Linked DNA regions of Oryzias latipes. The protein of the gene in region 2 interacts with the protein of the main gene of each other region in a biochemical or structural test. Links are inferred from orthologs where the notes say so. Each region holds a gene or a part of one and is shown on either strand. Other genes may lie near its edges.

Evidence for each region.
Region 1: the proteins of nhlrc1 (region 2) and epm2a form a complex in vitro, tested with the Homo sapiens proteins (3 studies listed by BioGRID, with this or other methods). The link is inferred for Oryzias latipes from reciprocal best matches to the Homo sapiens genes NHLRC1 and EPM2A.

What each region holds. Positions count from the first base shown.
Region 1 is NC_019882.2:8,655,347-8,659,300, forward strand, and holds the start of epm2a (laforin), read left to right. Parts: upstream 1-1,154; 5' UTR 1,155-1,280; coding exon 1,281-1,527; intron 1,528-1,930; exon of another isoform or gene 1,931-1,959; coding exon 1,960-2,134; intron 2,135-3,954. UniProt on the Homo sapiens protein: Plays an important role in preventing glycogen hyperphosphorylation and the formation of insoluble aggregates, via its activity as glycogen phosphatase, and by promoting the ubiquitination of proteins involved in glycogen metabolism via its interaction with the E3 ubiquitin ligase NHLRC1/malin.
Region 2 is NC_019874.2:16,428,791-16,432,339, reverse strand, and holds nhlrc1 (E3 ubiquitin-protein ligase NHLRC1), read left to right. Parts: upstream 1-1,193; 5' UTR 1,194-1,385; coding exon 1,386-2,594; 3' UTR 2,595-3,049; downstream 3,050-3,549. UniProt on the Homo sapiens protein: E3 ubiquitin-protein ligase. Together with the phosphatase EPM2A/laforin, appears to be involved in the clearance of toxic polyglucosan and protein aggregates via multiple pathways.

The DNA.
Region 1 (3,954 bases), on a different chromosome or scaffold from region 2:
CTTGCAGATGGCAATGTTGGTATGAGGCAACCCCGCCCCCCTTCCCCTCTCTGTTGCTTAGAACTTGGAGCAGAGAGCTTGTGGCCCACCCAGCATATTTTCTACGTCCCAAATTTGCTCTTTTTCAAACTGCATTTTCTCATCTGCTGATCCACAACAATCTGAATCATTAAAATACCCAGAAATGCCATTTTCCATGAGCAATTTTCAAAAAATATATATATGACCTCCGTAATCAGAAAAATGTCACATAAACAAGTTAAAAAGACAAAAATCATGATTTTCATTGGAATGGGTTATAAATGGCTTCCTTGAAAGCGCTTGTTGGGATGAAATGTTAAATATGAACAACTTCACTGGCTTTTTAACGGTTTGGTCTTGCATAAAGACACATACATGTGTAGAGTGTCGTTATGTTATCAGGACTGAACAAGGATGCCTAGATTGTAACAGGAAGAGTATCTGAATTTAAGGGCTTGTAGTGCCAGAAGGCAACACTTTGGACTACCACAGCTAAATGGGAACCATGAAGAGGCCAAAAGGGAAGCAGCAACTGTCAAACACCTACACAGAATAAAGCAAGCCTAGGGACGTCTGCAGGATGGGAAAACAAAGTGCTGGGTGTCAATAATTATGTCCTATCAATCATCAGATTCCCTGCTGGCATGATAAGTTGTGATGCATGGAGGGTTTCATCCCAAATCCATAAGACTGTGCTATACAGAAGTTCCAAGCTCAAGATGGGAAACAGCTCTAAAGGCAAAGCTGTGAATGCTCAAGATAACACCCTGTGGTACTTTCAAATAAACAAAGATGATGGATGGATGGATTGATGGATGGATGCAACCTTCCACATTTACTCAACTTGTGGTGGCAAATGTACCTGATTGTGCCCCCTTGTGGTTACATTGAGTGTTGAATTAAATTATTAAACCAAATTTCCGTTTTTGTGTAATTTGTTTCTATTAAGTGTGTATGGTTTTGAGCTTGAAGAGCATGATTTTAAAAATGTACTTATTCATTTAAAATTCAGTCTAATAAAACAGTCAGAATATTCACACGTACTGCAGTGTTTACAACAGCATTTATGATCCAAATAGCTTTTGGTTTCAGAATTTGTTGACCGAGTGAGCCTTCTTTCTTTTTATTCAGTCTTTGCAGACGCTGAAGTCCAAAACACCGCTATTTTTAGCCCGCAGCAGACAGTCAGCAGAACAAAATGAGATAAAATCACAACCACTAGAACTGCAACGTCACATTTATTTATAAACTCCCCCACCATGCTGTTCAGGTTCGGAGTCGTTCTTTCTCCACAGTCTTCGCACGTGGAGCTTTTAGTTTCGGGCTCGCGTGAAGAAATGGGCCATTGGGACCCGAGTAGAGCGGTACAGATGAAGGCTTCGCTCCAGATCCCGTCACCTGACGAGCCCTGTCTGTGGACCGGAGAGGTGGAGCTGGCAGAGCCCGTCAAAGATCCGTTCTGGTTCAAGTTTATTCAAAGGGTCAGAGGCGGTTTTGTTTGGGAAGGTACAACACATTCGATTTTCCCAAAGCAACGTTAAAAAAACCTTTTCAAAATTTGCCATATTTAATGCAACTAGTGTAATGTACCTTTACAACCACGAGAGGGCGACACAGTAACGTTTGTTAATTAGGGACCTCGTTTTCTTCAACTCAAAAACATCCTGCAAAGCTGCATTTTCTGTTGCCTGAGGATATGAAAAACAATTTGTCTCCCCCTCTAAATGTCACAAAATTGTCTTTGCTAGAGGGTGAAAATATGTCAACAATGCAGCAGATTATGGTGATATTCATGACTTTGTTGCTCCAAATAGAGGATTTCTTGTGGATTACGTTTTGGAATCAATCATGGATATGACTGACATGTAGAAGTCCCACAACATTCGTTAGAGGGAATTAGCTTACAAACCTTGCAGAAAATATGTGGTCTGTGTCCAGGTAGTGGTCCCAGCCATGACAGATGCTGCTCCTATGATGACAGGAACGTGGTGGATGGAGTGTACTGCCATCCGATTGATCACTGGATCGAGAAAACAGGACACACGAATGAGATGAAACACACCACAGACTTTTACTTCAGGGTGGCCGGTCAGATGGCCATGCATTTCTCCAGGTAAGTTAAAATAATAGGAGAATGCATTGTAAAATGCAATACTCTATTTATTTTATATAAGATGGTAAAGTGGTTTAGAAATTATGTATTTCTGCCTACAAATCATTAAAAAGCAGGAAAAGCTTTGTTTTTTCAATGATTAAAAATAAAATAAAATACAGTGGAAGGTTCCACCAGCATCCAACCCTCCTGATGAGAAGGGGGATGTAAGAAGTTTAAGGAAAATACTTTATCCTTCTGTGGTTCATAATACCCTTCAAAAGATTAGGAGAATAAGGAGAAACATTTCATTTTTAAGTAGAAACTGTTACTAAGTGACTGATCTTCAGGGCCTGAGGCGGGACGGCATTAACGCGCTCACAATAGAGGTGTTTTTCAAAGTAAAAGTCTTTAGAAGCTGCCAGGGTTTTATAACAGCCTCGACCTAAGGTTTGTTTGGACTTAAAAAAACTTCTGTAACTCTCAACTTTTAAAGATTGATTTTGGATCCAACACTGTGACTATTACTGAGTTAATTTGTGGCACAATAATTACAGAATTATACTAAAAATAGACTTTTATTTTTGAGACTTGAAGTTTAGCATAACAATGACCAAACATTTTTCAGCCTCAATACCACCTTAAGACCTCACAGTGAACCTAAGATTACAGACAGTTGCTTTGCTCTCCAGACCTGTCTGAAACAAACATTAGAACAATAAAAGGCCCTGATTTAAAAATCAATAACTTCAAATGAAACACAGGGATTTTTTTGAAGGGCCAGTTATTGATCTCCTCGGTTCCTATAAATCACAGCTTTGCTCGAAAAACAAGACTTGATGCAGGAAATCAAATTTATTTCATACCAAATGGAAAAATAAAACACTAAAATGTCAGCGTTGGTGGTCTGTAGAACTTATAGGCGACCTAAGGCAGACCGACTCAAACTATCACTTATTTATTGTGAACATAAACAAGAATCTCCACAAAAAAAATGCCTTAAGAAAATAAAAAAACAACAAGATTTTGACTAAGAGCAAGTCAACTTTAGTATAAGAAGTAGCAAACAGGATGCAGCTTAGTGTCAAACAGAAACCACAGGTGCAACAGGTAATACGGCTGAGCAGAATTACACATGGGAAAACTAATAAAGTTAACAAGAAAAAAAGACCCTGCATCCCACATAAGACTTTATTTTTTCTAAATTTGATGTAATTTTGTTTTAATTTTTTTTCTGAATAATTTTCTTTTCCATTTGTATTTTCCACAGTTTATGTGATGCATGCTATTTTATTTAATCCGATTAAGTATTCCCTTTAATCCAGCAGTTTTAGGTATTTTAATGCACGAGGGAAAAACTGTTCTAAGCCATTTTTTTAGCTCAATGCCCCGTTTATGTTCTCCTTTGCAAACACCTCAAGCTACAGTATGTTCATACCACACTCTGCAACGTCCGTTCCAGCAACTAATTCCAATTAAAAGTCTATGTCAATGCACATAAACGTGCGTTCAAAACTCTCACGTTCACGTGTAGCTATGCAAGTTTTTATGATCATTTTATGTAACGTGCAGCCATTAAAAGCAAGTTGAAGGCTAAAGCAGGTTGATCTTTGACCAGTCAGGGACTCAGATTTATTAGAGACCCTTTCATTTATTGAAATGCCAACTGTTTGATAATTAATCATGGAGGAGAAATGAATAATTGCGTTTTTTGAATAGAGCTGTGAAAGGAAAAAGCCTGGATTTTCAACATTTCCACCACTTTTGACATTTTGCACCAAGCCTCTTTCAACTGTAGGTGGCATACATGCGCTAGTAGAAAAAGAAGAAGAAGCCCCTCC
Region 2 (3,549 bases):
CGGAGGTTTTTTTTTTTTTTTTTTTTTAAGACATGATGTAATGATGCAAAGCACAGTTGAAGCACTTTGCAGAATGTTTCCGGTAAGACTGTATTGATTTGTAATGGTTCAGTATTTTTGTGGGTCATTGTGATTTTGAGTGACTTCCCCGTGCCCCCCCCCTCCCTTTTGTGGCTGCTATCATTTTTATTTGTACATTTTACTGGAGTGACAAAAGAGGGCAATTATTCTCATTATTGCATGTGTCGTCGACTTTTTTCCTGTTGGTGTGTTAATGGCATTTTTAATATACAACTGCACGACTGCTTCCAATCAAACGGTTTGGTCCAAACTTGTTCTAGAGCCGCACATCGCTTGCCTTTTGTCGTCATGTTTTTTTATTTTATTTCACCCCTTGTGCCTGTTATTGCGTAGAAATTTGTTTGTGTGTGTGTGTGTGTTATCATTTGTGTGTGCTTTGTTGAAAGTCGATGGTCTTTAAAACGATCAGTATCATCTCTGAACTGACACGGCCCTCACGATTCTTGACAATCCAGTCAGTGACTGAAGAACCGGGCTCGTGTTTGACTGCAGGCATTGGAAAGGGTACACTGTTTGTGGAGTTGGATTGTTTGTGGAGCCAAAAAAAAAAAAATTCAGAAAAAGATTATCGCTGTTGTGAACTGTGAATTATGGCAGCCCATTAAAAAGTTTTACATTTCCTCAAGTGAATTGTGTATAATTTCTGGCTCAGGAATTAGATTGAAACCATATGTTATTTGACTTTAGTCTCTATTCTTTTATTTTTTTTTACCAAGAGTAACTTTGAAATGTTCTTCCTGGAATCCAGAAGGGCATTGTGCTGCAAAGAACTTCTGGATTGGCTGACTGGAGCACTGTCCAACCGGGCTCAGATTTCCCTCAGTCTGCACACTGTGAAGCTCAGACTGAAATAGCTGTTTCAAGTTGACCTACACAGGATGGTTAGATTTTCTTGTTTTGAATTCAGCTCCAGTAAAGCATTTTATTGTGCAACAAAAAAAGTAGTATCTGAGAGGAACTGGAGTTGAGCATGATTATTATGTAAATTATGATATTAAGTGAATCAGTTTTGCTGTTTTCCACTGTGCTTTTGATTTTTTTAAATATTTTCCTCAAGATTTGAAGGAACATTGGTCACAAAATGACTTTAAAATGTGCAAACTGATTTCCAGTGGAGGGCAGCAGAGAACCTTTGTTGAATTTAAGATACCACGTGACCAAGTAGGCCTCAAAGCAGGAGGCACGTGTTTACACAGTACCATGGAGGCCCTGTGCTCTCACCATGCATCTCACTGAGCTTTTGGTTGTCAGTCTGTGTGAGCTAACTAAATAATTAAAGAATCCATAGGAGCGTATCATTCACCATGGACAAGAGTCCTGGTCTCCCAGGATGTAGCTACCTGAATCCAGAGAGGACGCTCGGAGAGATCCGGATCAACTTGCTGGAGTGCAAAGTCTGCTTTGAGCCATTTAATTCTGAGCAGAGAGGAAGAAGACCGCAAAACCTTTGCTGTGGCCATGTTCTCTGCCTGGAATGCATCACGGCTTTGTCCCACCCTCTTCTAGGGAAGCTGGAGTGCCCATTCTGTCGACAGCTGTGCAGTGTTGACAGCACATCTCCATGCCAGGCTCTTAATGACTTGCAAGAGCTTGTATTGCCATGGAGGCCTTCTTCCCCCGATCGTCCTCACAGAACCTCTAGTCTGACTCGCGCAGCTCTGCAGCTGCAAACTTCTTTTGGGGGATGGGGGACTCTGATCAACCCCACTGGAATTGCTGCTTTGGGGTCTTCTGGGACATTAGTTATTGTCCACGATGGAGAGAAAAGGGTGGTGGTTTTCAGCACACTGGGAAGGAAACTGCACAGTTTTGGGAAAAGAGGAAAAGCCGTGGGAGAAATCTGTTTCCCAATGGATGTGGCGGTGACTCCTGCTGGCTGCGTTGTAGTGACAGATCCAGGAGACAGAGCTGTCAAGGTTTTCACCTCCAGGGGGGATCATTTAATAACAATCAAGGACTCCTTCCAGTTGCCCTGGGGTGTAGACATACACATCTCTGGGCACCTCCTAGTCTCAGACGCTCAGGCTGGAGTACTGACCAGGATGAAAGTGGACTACAGTCAACGTGTCATTGTAGAGTGTCATAAAGCCATCTCAGATCTTCAGTGTCCCAGAGCGGTGGCATGTTGTCGGCTGACTGGAAACACGGCGGTGATGGAGCACCCAACTGACGTCCCACATCCCGCAGAGGGACGCCCATACAGACGGCTGAGAGTATTTACAAAAGACTTCCACCTCATTTACCAGACGGACAGTTTCAGCCTGACTCTGCAGTCAACAGTACAGCTGAACATGTCAGCTTTGAGCTTTGATAGAGATGGAGCTGTAATAGTGACAGATCCTTATCAGGGGTTTATTTGGAGTTTAGGGAAGCTTGAAAATGGCCCAGTTCTAACTCCTATTGTTGGTAATCATCTTATCAGACCTGTTAGTTTGGTGTTACTAAATGACATGCTCATCACTCTGGATGGTGGTGACCACACAGTCAAGATTTTCTCTAATAAACCTGAATAAAGCATATGCTTACAAAACATGTTAGATCTGAACCCAGACCCATTTTTCATTAGAGCAATACTATGCGGGATCTACTGTACCACTGACCAAGTGGATCTCAGAACACATTTCTGATGTCTTTCTCTTACACATGTCGCCATTGGTTCTTATTAGTTAAATTGATGATTTGTCAAAATTTGGATAGATTTTTCCCGGATGAGATTTGTCCAGTATCTTTGTAGTTCGTGCATTTGTTATAACTTTAAGCTTAAAAAGACCTCCACCACTGGGAAATAAGTAATATTTGTAAGGCATTAAAGGGAGTCATCAGTATTATATGCCAAACATGACAGTGTTGGGTGTGTGGATGTAGTTAGCTAGGAATGTATGCAGTTTTTTGAATTCTAAACCGTTATAAAATGTATGCAGAAATAAAAATTATTCCCACTCCAATCCTCTTTAGATCTATTGTAAAAGCTTTCCAAGTAGTCTTTTATTTACAATTATTGAGTTTTTAGGCAAAATGAAAAAAAAAAAACGGTCATTTTCTAGGACATAGAGCGATGGTAGATCCTTAGAATTTGCCTCTAATTAAACAGACATCCTTCTGTTTACACTTTCTCATGTTAGCTTACATCCCAGCAACATCCCCCAATCTAACATTACTGGTGCTGCAAAAATGGTGAGCAATTTTGCAGCTATCCAGCCAAACCGTTTTGAGCCAGATGCCATGAAGGAAAAGGAAGATAGTCATAGATCTATTTGTCTGCAAGTGGATACATCCCAATGGTGCGGAGAATGGGGCTTGTGACCTACCATTTGTAGCACCTACATCATGACAACATGCCGTTTTCCAACTGCATTTTTTTGTCTGCTTCTGATTCACAACAATTTGAATAAAGTTGTTGTTGTTCACCCTTAGGCAAATCCTTTCAGAGGTTGCCACAGTAAATCAGCTTTCACTAATTCCCACAAG